Linked DNA regions of Alligator mississippiensis. The main gene of each other region encodes a partner of the protein of the gene in region 2 in a complex. Links are inferred from orthologs where the notes say so. Each region holds a gene or a part of one and is shown on either strand. Other genes may lie near its edges.

Evidence for each region.
Region 1: the proteins of BACH1 (region 2) and FBXO22 are in contact, whole or in part, in a cryo-EM structure (PDB 8S7D), measured with the Homo sapiens proteins. The link is inferred for Alligator mississippiensis from reciprocal best matches to the Homo sapiens genes BACH1 and FBXO22. Residues at the interface, in NP_001177.1 of Homo sapiens: Ser7, Val8, Phe9, Ala10, Tyr11, Glu12, Ser13, Ser14, Val15; in NP_671717.1 of Homo sapiens: Asp366, Gly371, Asn372, Phe373, Ile374, Leu375, Arg376, Lys377, Cys378.

What each region holds. Positions count from the first base shown.
Region 1 is NC_081834.1:30,396,945-30,405,209, forward strand, and holds the start of FBXO22 (F-box only protein 22), read right to left. Parts: upstream 3,267-8,265; 5' UTR 3,167-3,266; coding exon 3,063-3,166; intron 1,337-3,062; coding exon 1,204-1,336; intron 1-1,203. Other genes in the region: UBE2Q2 (ubiquitin-conjugating enzyme E2 Q2), read right to left, coding at 6,305-6,336, 8,104-8,170. UniProt on the Homo sapiens protein: Substrate-recognition component of the SCF (SKP1-CUL1-F-box protein)-type E3 ubiquitin ligase complex that is implicated in the control of various cellular processes such as cell cycle control, transcriptional regulation, DNA damage repair, and apoptosis.
Region 2 is NC_081824.1:289,797,874-289,804,945, reverse strand, and holds the start of BACH1 (transcription regulator protein BACH1), read right to left. Parts: upstream 3,023-7,072; 5' UTR 2,889-3,022; exon of another isoform or gene 2,844-2,888; intron 1-2,843. UniProt on the Homo sapiens protein: Transcriptional regulator that acts as a repressor or activator, depending on the context. Binds to NF-E2 DNA binding sites. Plays important roles in coordinating transcription activation and repression by MAFK.

The DNA.
Region 1 (8,265 bases), on a different chromosome or scaffold from region 2:
TCAGCATTCACAAGCCACCTGGTACCTTGGGGTATGTAGAAAAAACATTTAAAGTTGTGTCTATGTCCCAATCATCAAAGCTCGCCGAATCAATTCAGAGTTCCGATTTGATTCGGAGAGATTAAAGGGTCTTCTGATTCGATTCAGAAATTCAGCTGCTGAATTGGGCCGAATCGACTCAGCAACCGAAACTGTGCACAGCTCTAATGTCTGGGCATGTTGGGACTCCTCTGGACAAGTTTGTAGCTTATGGTGTTTCCCCAGTTTTCTGTGGCCAGCAGCTGAAGCAAGATAGTTTGCATCTCATGTCCCCTTTTGTTATGTCAGTGTTCAGAACACTTTCTATGCATTACATTTTGCATGAAAATCAGGAAAAGGGTAAGTGAAACATTTGAATTACTTAAAATAGCATTTGGTGATGACACTATGAGCCGTGCAAGAGTTTTCGAATGGTATCATTGGTTTAAAGAAGGACAATCATCGGTCGAAAGTGACGAGCGTTCCGGATGCCCTTCAACATCATGAAATGATGAAAATGTGGCAGCGGTTCACAGTTTGGTTTGATTGACTATCTGAGAGATAGCAGAAGATGGAATTTCTGTTGGTTCATGTCATTCAATTCTAACCAGTGATTTGGGAAGGAAATGACCAGAAAAACAACCAGAGAAGTGGAGGTCCAACTGATGCTTCACCACGACAATGCACCTGACCACTCAGCACAGCTTGTGAAGCAATTTTTAGCCAAATACCATATCCTACAAGTGCCGCAACCTCCATATTCACCCGATACAGCCCCATGTGACCTTTTTCTCTTCCCTCAGCTAAAGAAAACCTTGAAAGGAAGATTTTGTGATGTGAAAACTATAAAACAAAATGCGACTGACCAGCTTTTAGTGATTCCACAAATTGCTTATCAGAGGTTTTTCCAACAATGGCAGAAACGTTGGGAGAAGCGTGTGGCTGCGGAAGGAGCATACTTCAAAGGAGATTAAGCCGAAACCCCTCTAAATTAAATCTTTTGTTTCCTACAGCATCAGTCTCAATTCTTTTTGAACAGACCTCATATATATATGTTGAAACTTAAAAAGGCTATGGAAGGACTGAGAAATACATCAGCAGAAACAGGAGTCTGCTCAAAGATCTTGCCACAGTAGCTAGAAACTCAACCACGAGTATCAGTGTAATTGTGATATTTTCTCCTACCTCAAGTTCCTCTGCTAATGTGCGGACGAGCGAATGAGTGTCAGATGGACCAGGCTCAAGGGCGGATACCCAGGCTACGCTCTGCTGCGTTCTCAGTATTCTACGAGCGCATTCTCTCCATAACCGGCACACGCTGAAATACAAGGATTCCGCGTCACAACTACAAAAGGGAACTTTGGCATGTGTCAGTCCCCCACTGTTTTCCCTTTTGATTTGGAAATGCTTATCACACGCTGTCAGAAGTTACCCACACTCCTTTAAAGAAGTACTTGGAATGACTAAATTGGAACTGGGATTATTGTGGCTTGCCACCAGGGTGGATAAAAATCAACAATTTTAAATTAAAATAAAATAAAATAAATTGATTTTTTTAAATGTAAATCAGTTTTTAAATGCTTAAAAATAATTTAGATAGTTTTAATTTAAGATATGATAAAACTCAAAGATGTAATCATGGAATAGGGATTATAACTTCTAATTATATATACAATATTTGAGACAATATATTCATGTAATCTTTTTTAAAGTTTTATAAATAGGTCACAACAGGCCATGGACTATATTAGGGGTCCAATCTTACACGGCTCCCGGAAACTCCTCTATAGATTGTAAAGATTAAAGAAAACCACTCTACCCAATGGGACTCAGTGCTCAGTCTAGGAGATCCCATTAAGCATCTCTGTGATGCTTAGTTTCAGTTCTCAAACAGTGTATTTGTGTCTCCAGAGATCATAGGCAGACAAAGTTCTTTGAGGACAGGCAAAATCTTTTATTACACCAACTAAATAGTTGGAAAAATTGCTCTTTGCAAGCTTCGGGCACAAATGCCCTTCTTCAGGCATAGGGAGAGTTTGTCATCTCCAGAGATAACATCCTTGTTAACAGCAGTACATGGAGATGAAAGATAACAGACCTGATTACCTACCCATCACCCCTATTGTCTCTCTGCAAGTTTGCATACATGCAGTCAAGCCATTACCTTTCTCTAAAAGTGCAAAGTTTCAAGAAGTTAAATGAATAGAGGATATCAAACAAAGATGCACTTTTTGTAGAAAAACAATGATTAAATTGAGGCTTCATGACCACTGATTTAAATCGATTTGATTTAAAACAAATGCACCCTGTTTGCCACTGCCTTCTATATAACTTGAATAACTTATTTGCATGGGTACAGGCCTAGTAGTTGCTTCCAGTTATAAAATGTTTTTGACAGTATCCGGTACTAAGCTGCCTCACTTAGAGACAGCCGTATGTTAAGAGACTTGTTTTTTCCTCCCGCACAAGAGCAGTACGTTGAATAATTCATTCCCAGTTCTTCTCTGCAGCACAAAATGTAGGTATCAGCAACATAAAATGCTGATATGGTACAGATGCCGAGAGCGCTGCAGAGACGGCTTGGCTTGCTCCTTGTTCTCTGGATACAAGGCGTCAGCACCCCCCGCCCGCGTTCTTAGCGGTGATCGGGATCCCAAGGAGCAGATGCAGGCCGTGCGGGTGCTGTAAGTTTCTCAGCCTCGTAAACAAGTCTCCATTGGAAACATTTAAACCTAAGAGACCTCAGCCTGGCTGGGCCTGGGAGGGGCCGCCGCAGACCTGCTCCAACCTGCGTGCAACTTGGCCACGCGACCCCGCGCCCGCCGCCAGCTCCTCCCGCCCCGAGCGCCGCCGGCGCGAGGCAGCAGCAGCGGGCGCGGCCGAACCCCGCGGAAGGACACAGCGGCCTGGCGTCGAGCGGCCCCAGCCCAGCCCCGCGGCAGGGAGCGGGCGGCGGGGCCCAGGCCCTAGCGGCGGACGGGGCCGGAGCTGGGGGAGCCCTGCGCACGGAGGGGGCGGGCGAGGGCTGCGGGGCCGGTGCCTACCAGGCCGCCCGCAGCAGCGCCTTGGTGGGCAGGAAGCTCAGGACCCGCTCCACCACCTCGGCCAGGTTGCTCAGCACGAAGGGCCCCTGCGTGTCCGTCTCCATGGCGACCGCCGCGGCCTGGAGCCTGGCCCCGCGCAGCGAGCGGCCAGGCGGGGAACAGAGCGCAGCCCGGCGGCACGCTCTGATGGCGTCATCACACGGTATCCGCGTCCGAGCCTCACCCGGAGTCACGTGGCCGGAAGCGACGATCACTGTGGGGGAAAGACTGGGGAACGATGGTTCCGCTTCTGGTTTGTGGCCACGTGATGCGTTAGCGCCGCAGTCCTTCCGCCTCCTCCCCGGGGGGCGTTTACGAGAACGTAGCTGGGGAAGGCTAGCGGGGGCCTCGAGGTTTCCAGCACATTTGGGGCATGGACCGAGTTTGGCGTTTAAAAAAGAAATGCGTTTAGATCTGCCAGGACAGTGCTGCAGGCACTGAGTTGGGGAACGCAGTTACAGCAGGCTGCGAGAGCACGAAGAGCGGCACCAGGCTGCAGGAGAGACTGGCCCCGCCGCCCCATCGGCCGTGCAGCTTCAGAAGGAAGCTCCGCAGTAAAAGCTGTTTTTTAAAAATGTTTTCCATCAGACATGAAGGCCTTTTGTTGGCCTAGTTATGCCACCAGCCGGTCATTCCAGGCAAATGGCTAAGAAAATAGCTCCGCTTAAAACTAATCTCTTAGTCTTGGTGCCACAGGACATCCTGTTGTAATTTTGCAAGATCCCAAGCTAAGAGCAAGCCGGACCAAACCGTCAAGGAAACAACTGTTACACAAGTGCCACTGGCAATTGAGAAGGCAGTGCTGTTACCTTTGGATTAGTATTAAAACCAGCATTGTGCTGCATAGAGAGGATATCATTTGAATGATATGTAAACCTAAGTAGTCATCATTTTGCCAACGAATGGGCACTTTCATGTGCAAGGCAAGGTATTGGTGACAGTAAATGCTGTCAATCTCTAACTCAGTTGTATGCTTTCAAGTTTACTAACAGCTCTAACAGCATCTTAAAATGGTTCCACCCTAGCCAGCCGTTTTAGTACTTCTGGTATCAGCAGTGGAAGATCCGATCCTAGGATAATTTGTACTATTCAGGGTTTCATGATCCTTCATTTAGGGCAAGGGATGTCAACCAGGGATACGTGTATATACTTGGGAAGGCCCTGGGGGGGTATGCAAGGCAGCAGCACACTTCTCAAGTACCCCCGCTTCTTTGCAGCACCAGAGTGTACCTGGGAAGCACACCAAAAGTACTTGAAAAGCATGCTGTGTGCTGACCAGTCACTGGAGGAGCCACCCCCAACTCTTTAGGGGGGTACACTCCTTAAAAAAAGGTTGAAAACCCCCTGATTTAGGGGATAATGAAAGAGCTGCCTGATAGCAAGACTTCACTGTAAAGCAAAGTACCAGCAACCTGTTAAACTCCCTCCTACACTGATAACACAAGGTACTCATGAACAGAATGCTGCCTGCATCCAGAGACAGTAACCACAAAAAGAATAATTCTTAAAATGGTTCTTTATTCATAAACTTGATGCAAGTTTACAAATTACTGTACATTGCCAAATAATTCTGCAATGAAAAATGAAATCCAAAACAAAGCATGCCAAATGTGCATCTGTCAACCTGCTAGCCCATTAGAATATTAAAGAATTCAATAATGTATTCAAAGATTTTAGCCTCAGGTTTTAAGGAACTTTAATGCTTAAAGAGTTCTGCCTTTCACTTAAGTTTGCTATTTGAGCAATTGGCTACCAGGATTTAATACAAATATACATACAACCAAGGAAGCAGAAAGGCTGGGAAGTCATTCACTATACTTCCTAGAAAACTATTTGAAATAATATATAAAATCAGGAGTAGTGCCAAATCTCTTCAGTCTGTTCTTTCAAGCTAAAAACTGGATCTAGAAGCAAATGCACAAGGACCCAGGGGTGCCTGATAGAGAAAAGAAGAAGAGCACAAATTTGATAGTCATAACTAAAAAAAAAAACAACACACATGCTTCTGGGCTTCTAAAAAGTGCTTAATCCATGGTACACACCCTTATTTCAACCCCTGGGGGTAAAGGTCTAATCCCTAATGCTACAACCAAAATAGAATTGATTTAGATAAGGCAATGAAACATAGTAATTACACAGACCCAGATTCGTTTCCTAAGAAAGAATAGTTCCCGTTAGTCTTTCAATATCAAAACCACTGTCATGACTATGGCAACACTTTTAAAATCTCTGAATCGGGTGATGTCTTTCTGTACTTTATTTAGCTTTTTCTATAAAATTTTTGCTCAAGGATTTTCATCTTGATTTGTGCCAATCACTTAAGTTCATTAGTTTACAAATGATTGCAACAACCCGTTAATAAAAAAAAATGGAACACCTAAAAAGGTTTTTAGTATCTTAAATAACTTCAAGCTTCATACTGTGGCCGTTGTTAAGAGATTGAGCCAACAAGTAGCAGGAACAGCCCAGCAAGATTCTGATGCCCCAGTGGAAGTGACTAGTTACAAGATTTTATTGGCACAGCCTTGCTCTGCTTATAAAATACAACAATCTAATTAAGAGTATCTCTTCCAAGAAACAGTTCATATCCTCAACACAGCCATGAAAAAAAAGTTTAATGACTTAGCATACATGTTGTTTTCCTATATCATTAATTTGGCAATACTACAAATGTTGTCATTTTAGACCAGAAAAACTACTGTGATTTACAAGACCTGAAATTTCCTAGAACAGTATTAAACAATGTATTAAACTTTGTTGGCTTTAAATGAAATAATACAATGCAAATCTCTGCAGTCCACGTTCTGCAAAAAGGTAAGAAGTACACAAAAAAGTGTTGTGAGCAACTTCTATTGAGTGATCTTTAGTAACTTGATAGCCTGCTTTAAAGAGTTTACACTTTTAAATTAAAAAAAAAAAGTGGGAAAAGGGAGGGAATGACCCAAGTATACTTAATCCAGAGGGACAAATACAGTACAGGCCAAAACTGCTCAGTCCAAGATACCTAAGAAGAGCGGAATGGTAAGGCTGTAATTTATACTGAATGTGTCAGTTGACAGATTATCCACTAATTTATCTAATAGCTAAAGTCTTCAGTACGGCTGTTGTAGGGGCACTTGTAGCTTGAGTCTGTGTGTGTTGGAGAGAAATAAAAAAGAGCTCTGTTTGTTGATGTTGGTCCAGGTGTAAAACAGTCCTCAGTATTAACCATCTTCTTTTGGAGGAGTGTACCAGCCTGTAGAAGAAACAGGTTAGGTGCAAATGTTAGAACAACTGCAAAGCCCATACTAAGTAAGCAAGAAGGTAACTTTTTGCTCTATCTTGATTTGTGCAAGATGGAAGCTTAAAATTTGATTATAAAAATAGGAATAATTTAACAAAAGGGCACCGGCTGCCCTAAACATCACCCGGCAGAAGGAAAGCTAGTATTTATATCTGAAAATAAAGCATTAACATTTGAGGCTCCTCTTGGCATGCTGAACTGAACAAGGATCACCATCTAGTTTTCATACATCTCAAAACCTTAAAAGGACCTTATTTTTCAATCCAACAAGCCATGTATCTAGCACCTGCAGTTTAACTACATAGGCATGTGCTTATATAAATCTTATTTTGCCTGCTAAAGTTGGACATATGCCAGTTTTGAGATCTATACCAGTGATTCTCAACCAGGGTGCTGCTGCACCTGGGTTTGCCATGAGATCCTTTTAAGGCTGCCAGGCAATTGTAGCAGTGCAAACTCCTTCATAGTAGACTTTCAATACGACTGATAAACCGCTTGTCTGGAATGGTTTAGGTACACTGAATCCTGCATCTGTGCAAGGGGTTGAACTAGATCAGGGGCGTGTAATTTCCAGTTCAAAGGCCAGATCCGGCCCACAAAGCCCCCCACAGATCCAAAAGCTTGGTGTGTAGGGGAAGTGGTGGTAGCATTAAATTGCTGCTCCTTGCTGCCAAATTTCCAGATCTCTGAGGGGCCCTGCAAAGGGCAGAGGCAGCATGGAGCTGATGCAGGCTGTGCAGAGGCAGCATAGAGCCTGATCTATGTATGCAGGGCTGGGTTCCAGTCTGGGTGCCCAAGGCTGGGTAGAGGCAGCACAGCTTGAGTGCAACCACTTATATGGCCTGGGGGCCAAAAGGTTGGACTAGACGACACTTGTGAGGTCTTTTTCAATTGAAGGATCATGATAAGATTTCTTAGACCCAATACTTGCTTCAAGTAGTTCACTCTACTAGACAAGCATTAACATTAAGTGTTGGGAGGCAGCCACATCCACATGGCCTCACAGGAACTGGTACTCAAGACTGGGAAAAAAAAAATAAATCTAGAGACTTGTTTCTGGCCTTACTGCCATCTTGTCACTTGACAGTCATTTAACCCCTCAGGGTCTCAAACTATTTGCACCCCTTTGCAATTGGGAAGGTGGATGTAATTCTACCAGTCCCATTTCTAATGCACTTTGAGAAAGTGCCAGTTCTGAGAGGACAAACTGGTGGTAACTAGCTTTGTATGGGATGTGTGCCACTACTTTCCAGAGCAGAACTGAATAGTTCAGCCAAGCTAACATCCCCTGGACATGCTGCATTTAACTTGCAGTCCTGTAAACTTGATCCTTTCATTAACTGTTGTCTGCTTGTGCTATAATTTGATTAGCTTCTTGGGGAAGGAAAAGGAGACTTGATGCGACACAAAAGATGCCATAAGAACAACTTTGCACATTGAAGTGAAAATACAGTACAACACACGCCAGAAGCATGGAATAATTTTACTTGATATAGCATAAGTTTATAGTGAACAGTAGATTGTTTAGTTGCAAGTACTGCTATCCTTCTCAACTAAGATGACAAAAGAAACAGCAGGAAAGTATTTAAGCAGCAAAATGCTCCAATATTTTAAAAAAGTTTTATTCAATACCAAAGAGCAAACACAACAGATGTAAAAAACATTTTCTATGCTGCTGTACAATTTGTACAAACAAGCAGAGCTGCAAAATTTACATACCATTTTTCTCATGTATTTGTACTAGAGACTTATAGGACTGTTGTGCTCTTGCTAGGTTATACTGGTTCTGAAAGAAAACATTTAAAAATACTACTATAAAGAAATGACATCACAACATACAAGATCAAAAATACATGCAGATACTTAAAGAGCTGTTTTATA
Region 2 (7,072 bases):
ATCCACTAACCAAGGTCAATTTTTGGTGGGGGGACAAAAATCTGAAATATGATTTTAAAGTTAAAGAATAAATAGTATAGTATTACTTCACTCTTGGACAAGTACCATCTATCATAACTGCAGTTCCTGCACACCACTGCACTTAAGAACTTAAGAATTGACATTCACTGGATCAGACCATAAGTCCATCCTGCTAAGGATCCCGTCACAAATAAATCCCACTATACCCCCCTGGCACATTCATTTTAAACCTTTGACCTCCACTCCCATCCCTGTTTTGTTATAATTTATCCCAAGCAATCAGCTGCCACTTTCCCTGTTGCCTCCCTCTCTGAGGGGGCCTTAGTTTCACGTGGTAGGCATTCCTCCCACAAACCCCTGAAGTGGCAGATAGGCCTGTGTCACACATTCAGCGTGCTCTGCTCCGTATCCCACCTTGTTGCACTCATTTGAAACTTTGGACCTCACTCCTGTCTACCTAGTGGCCCTCCTTTTTAAGGGAGGCTTATAATGTTTCCTGGTGGTCACTGGCCTGCATTCTTTAGGCAAAAAATAGGCCTGTCGCACATCCAGTGTGCTCTGCCCCGTGTCCCCCCTCAGTGCACTAGTCTTGAACCTTTGACCTCCAGCCCCATCCCTGTTTTGTTATCATTTGTCCCAAGAAATCAGCGACATGCTCCTAGTGGCAGGGGGGCTTATAGTTTCATTTGGTGGCCCAAGGTCCATGATTCCCCAGTGGCATGTCAAAAGGCCTGTCTCTCACATCTGGCGTGCTCTCCTCAGTGCCCTCCCTTGTGCACTCAGTTTGAACCTGCTCCTGTCCTTGTTATGTTTTCAGTTGTTCCCACGGAATGAGTTGCTGCTTTCAAAGTGGCCTCCCTTTATAAGGGAGGCTTTTAGTTTCTCGTAGTGGGCACTGGCCCACAATTCCTTTAAGGCAACAAGTAGGCCTGTGTCATACATCCAGGGTGGTCTCCTTGGTGTCCCCCCTCAGTTCACTCATTTTGAACTTATGACCCTCATTCCCATCCCTGTTTTGGCTTTCAGTTATCCCAAATAATCAACGATATGCCCATAGTGGCCCCCATCACCAAAGGGGGTGGGGGTCAAATCCCTACTGCAATATAGCTCTAGTTGGTGGGCTTTGGCCCGTGTCACATTATGGCATATCAAAAGGCCATGTCACATGGGCAGAGAGCAGAGGCTGGAAGGGAGAGAGAACAGATTATGACCAGGGCTTTTCCTCCAACTGTTCCTCTCTCACTTGCAGCCTCCAGCATTCAGGGTCTAGAAAAAGTTTTGGTTCAGAGGCTGTGCTCCTCACTTCCATACTCAATCGCCACTGAGGCCCCTTTCAACCAAGAATTTTACAGAATTGTAGAAAAATGAGGGCTGGAAGGGACCTCGGGAGTTCAAACCCCTGTTCAGTGCAGGACCGTCCCTAAATCTTTTATCTCAATCCAGTCTTTGTCTAGCCAGGTCTTAAAAGCCTCCAAGGAGGGAGAGTCTACCACCTCTCTCATAACCTATTCCAGTGTTTTCCTACCCTCCTGGGGAGAAAGTTTTTCCTCCTATCTAACCACAACATCCCATGCTGCAATCCCATTTTGAATCTGGCTACAGCGTCAGCTCCTGATGGTGAGGAGCCCCAAGCTCAAATGAAGCTCAAATGAAGGAGGCGAGGAGTTTACACTTGAACGATGCATTGTGTGGAGAACTTTCTTCCACTAGTTTAAAAAAAAAAAAAAAAAAAAAAAATGGACCAACCCGCTTCTCCCAGGACTCCACACACCCCAACGCCTTCTGCATCCCCAACCCTCAACTGGATTTCAGAATCAAGTTGCAGCAGGGGAAGTTGAAACTAGATCTTAGGAAAAACTTCCTCTGGAGGAGAGTAGTAAAGCACTGGAACAGAGAGGTGGTACACTCTCCATCCTTAGAGGTTTTGAAGGCCTAGCTCAACAAAGCCTGGGCTGGGGTGATCTAGTTGGGGAAGGTCCTGCTGTGAGCAGGGGGTTGCACTAGGTCAGCAGTTCTCAACCTATTTTATATCAGGACCCATTTGTAGTCATCAATGGTCAGTCCCAACTTTAAGTAGAAAACAGCCCCGGATCCTGCTGGTACCGCTCACTCCTGACCTCTTGCCCCTCAACCCAAGCCCCAACCCCCCAGCATGTGGAGGGATGTGTGGGGCATCAGGGGCTCCAAGCAGCCAGCCTGCAAGGGAAAAGCCACAGTTTCCCATGTTTTTCTCCATTACAGGAGAATCTATTTTTAAAGTTTATTCATGATCCTTTCACATATTCTTGCCACCCACTTTTGGGTGGTGACCACAAGATAAGAGCTGCTGCACTAGGGGACCTCCTGGGGTCCCTTCCAGCACTCATTTTCTAGGATTGTTTCCCAAAGACTCCTTCAATGCCTGGGTCCAAAACAAAGCCAAGGGGCAAGCCTGTGGGTAAGCAGCCCCACTCCCTCCCCCTGCCCCTAGCAAATTCCCAGCTGCACCCAGATGCTCCAATGCCCATGCCAAGGTGAAGCCGCTTCACACCCTGACCCCAAAGCGCACCTCCACCCCCTCGTGGCTCCTGCAGCCTAGAAACACCCCCCCCTACGGGCAGCGCCTTTATGTGTGTCTCCCACACAGGCGCCCCCAGGCGGGGACCTGGGTCAGGCTAAAGCTTCAGAGCTGGGGGGGCATCACGTGACACCATCCCCCCTGCGGGACCCCGAATGGTACTGGCCAGGCGGCGTCCACCCACGAGCCCCCGAATACTGAAGGCGAGGCGGTGCGCGCCTCTCCCACCGGGCAGTGCGCGTCGCTAGGGCCCGGCCGCGCTCACCTCGTTGCCGGCAGCCGCCGCTGTTCCCCGCGAGCCACCACAAACCTGAGTTGCTGCTCCTCCTCTTCCAGCAACAGCCCCAAACTGATCGTCCGCACAGTCCAGGCTGTGGCCCGACTGCGGAGAGAGCGGTCAGATGACTCCCCGCAACAGGACCAACCAGCCCGCCCCCAAACAGCGCAGCCACCATTTACCCCGCCCCCGCCGCCCGCTGATTGGGCGTTGCTATCTTGAGTGACATTCTGAGGCCTAAAGCCCGCCGCCGCCGCGCATGCGCATTCCGACCAACACCGGGGGGCGGGGGACGGACCCCGCTCTCCGCCCCCCTCCCACCAGCCTGAGAGGGGCGGGGCCTAGTCTCACTGGAGGAGCTCCTAGCATACATAGCCTGACTTGTAGTGTTCGTGCTGGGTAGCTGCCCTGCTACCCTTCGCCTGCTCGCAGCCGCTCTCCGCTGGGGCTGGCATAAAACGTCTTTGCCATGGGACGCCGAGGCCGTGTTGCCAGAGTTATGATAATGATCATATCTGCCCAATCATTTCAACCCAGGTATGATGTTTGATCAGTGTTCAAAGCTGACGATAATTTGGAGGCAGCTAATTGATGCAGCATATGCAAAACCCACCTCACTCTCAGTGAAGCTTTAGCTGATTTTTGGATACTTTTTTGGGGGGGAACTGTTTTGTATTTCAGGTCAAATAAGCAGAATCGGTTCCGAATCCTCTTGACTGAGCAACACTCAAATCGTTCAAGCATCATACACCGTACAACCAGCAAGCATCAGATATTCCCAAATCCATTGGTGGGCATCCCACATGCAGGCAAAGGCCTGGAGGCTTGGGGTTCGGATGCCCCCGCATAGCACTTGCCCTTAACCAAAGGCCACAGGAGCAAGCTAGGGAGGAGTTGTTCATTTCCATAAAGTTGGTGTGTAGCCGAGATCCTCCCATGGGAAGCTAATTACAAGCCTCATTGGGTGTCCTGTTCACTGGACAGGGTGCACCCTCCCCTATGCAGTGCCATTTTCAGATGTGCTATCAGCATTTTCTTATGACTGCTTACCTCAAAATAAAGAAAAGCTTCAACTTTGATGACCCAGTTCTCACTCACTCACTTGCGAGTTACACGGAGCAATACAAAGTAAATAAAACTTATTTGCATGCTTATTTTCATACTTGTTCAATGTACAATCGTTTTTCAGAAAATATGATAATTTTGAGCTTCCAATATTATAATTTAATATTTAATACCTGGCTATGCTGGCTTGAAGAAGCAGGAATACTGCTGTGGATGCAGCCCTACCCACTGCCACTTGAGTGGCTGTATTAGAGTCCTAGAGTTAGGGGGGGTGTTATTTACTTACTGAGGTATCTTGAGTTAACAAGTGGAATGAACAGCAGCCCTAAAAGGTCATCCATCTGCTCTAACATTTTTTTTTTAAAGAATAAAAACAGTTTATACAGCTGCTGAGAATCTTTAGTTTTTTGACTACAACCTGCCTGCACCAACCCTACAAATGCAGTGCATGACGTAGCATCTTGGTTCCTGAACCCAAGTGAAAAGTGGTGGTTGTTAAGAAGAGTAACAGTGCAAAGAAACATAATAGTACATCTCCATCATTAGGGAGATGTACTAATGTACATAATGTACTAATTATGAAACATAATGTACTAGTTATGCCTTATTTTGAATTACAGGATTCCCATCATGGCCTGTGAATGCAGAATTATAGCCGAATTCTTGCTTCTTTCTGTCCAGCCTTCCTTTTTTTTCTGTTGCTTGTAACTTTCTCATACTGCTTTCACACACGAGAATGTCTGTTCCTGGTCTCAGGCCTACTCTGAGTTATTTGAGGAAGATGTGTCCATCGTGTTGAGTTAACGTTAGCTGTGGGTGAAGAGGTGGGGGGAGTCCCCTCTATTTTCAGGGTAAAATGATTGTACCTGGAATAACTGAAAGAAACAGCTTAAAGTAGAGACTTGAAACTAAGCATTATTGAAGAAGAAAAAAAGTACTGACGTTTGAAGGAACATTGTTCACTATTTGTATAATTATGATTTTTATAAGGAAATGTTCTAAAGATTTTTTTATGAAGATACAGTGTTAGCTGAATTTCTACTCCTAAAAGTCACAGGCCTTTTACTTTCCAGTCAGGACTCCTAAGGCTAAGTTTTAAGGGGATCCTCTGCCATAGTGGGATTAGTAATTGGTTCATTCTACCTGCATGCAGTGCGGTGGGTATCATTTATACACCAAGCTACCCATTTTTTTTTCAATTGCAAATGACAAAGGGCCTCAATTCATGTCTACTTATCAGTTATCATATCAGCTTCACTGAAATCTGATGAATTCACCTGGATTTTCCTAATGCTTATCTAGTCTCTTGCCTTAAACTATTTGGTTGTAATCTTAGCATTCTTTAACAGAGAAGATAATTATTCAGACATTATTTCTTGTTATTTGAGGAAGATTTAGGCTGTCTATTTTTGTAAGGTCACCTCATAACTTTCCCCCATGTCTTTATTTAGGCCCCACCAGTTCTGCCCAGAGTGGCACAAGGAAGCACAGATAAGGCACAGTTGCAACCACAGGGCATGTTTGGTTTGGCATTTCTGCATAGTTCACTACGTGATCTCTACTTTGTCTGGGAAGTTTCACCCCTGATTTTTCTGTTGTACACATGGATGGAAAAAGCTTCAAAAACAGGTTTGATTATTGTACAACCCAAGGCTTCCTTCAAAGCTACTGATTTACAAGTGAAAGGGGGACAGTGTCTCAGGTGGAGTATGTTTTTCTCTATTGTTATCATACCAGGCACATCAATTTTATCCATGTTCCCAAATACTGCTCCTTTCATTTTGCTATTATAACACAACTAGTATTCTTAAAAGAGCTTAAATGTTTTGTGTTCTGTAAAATGAGTTCGTATTGCTGAATAAGAGTCACTTATTGTAACTAAGAATATTACGGCATAGACTGAAGTAGATGAAACTTGTTTGCTTAGGTTAGCTTTGCAAAAGTGAGATTGGGTTGCACAACAATTTTCTCCTCAAAGAGCCTATGGTATAAAGGAGCATACAGATATAAGCTGCTCATGTCCTACTCCAAGAATTGGGGGATATATTTCTCTCATTCAAAAATGTGCTGCAGAATAAGGATAAGGACAGTTTCAAGTATGTGACTGGATGGGGGAATCAGGATTCAGAGGTATTTATTGACTTAAATGAAAGCAAATTCAGTCCTTTAATTTGATAGCTGTGGAATTTTATCTATATAATTACTGTCTTTATTTCTTATAGTTTGCTTTTTATTTTTTCTATTAAGACTTCATTTTCATCAGGAATGATGATTTTTTTTAAAGCCACCAAAAAGAAAAGATTGTCATATGGGTCAGCCACAGGTTGTAGAACCAGGAGTTCTTGAGTCCCATCCTAGCATTACCACCGATGGGATACCTCTGCCAACACCTTTGTCCTTGGTGTTTTTCTAGAGAAGTCTTTGTGACCTTGCTAAATATTTTCACTGAGCTGCAATTTCCTCCATCTGTTAAGGAACTCCATCTGTTAAAATGCTTTATTCATAGATGGTAGTATTATAAAACTCCTCCATTTTAATTAGGTAGATTTTTATCAGTGGCTATAGTTACCAAAGATAATGATATTTTTACATAAGCATATTTAAAATGCACTTAAATCTAACCAGAATCAGATGTCATGAATGATATTTTACTAAATGCATGGGAAGATTATGTTTACCAAACTTCTGGACCTTTAATTTTGACAAGGAAGGGTGACAGAGAGTGTTTTAATACACATTATAATACTAGTTGTTTTAGTTGGCTGATGGATTTCAGAGGCATTATCCAAGTTTCACTACAAAATAACATGGGTCATTTTGGATAAGTAGACTTAAGGATAGCTATTTCCTTATATTAATCTCATGACAGCAGAATATTATCTCTTTCTTTTAGTCAAAAGTTGATACATTTAGAGCAACATTTTGTTATTCTGAATCTTAGTTCATACAGTATACCCTCCTATCTGTTATGACCAGTAGTTTTCATTCTCCCACTGATGTTGATAACTGTTCGCTGTCAAGCCCAGATATGAAGCAAGCCACTTTATGGGAGCTGTTAAAATTGAACAAGTTGCGTTGCAGGACTGACTGAATAGTTATCCTTTTCAATTGTCACATATGACATTTGAGAAGAAAACACCACTATGGAAGAA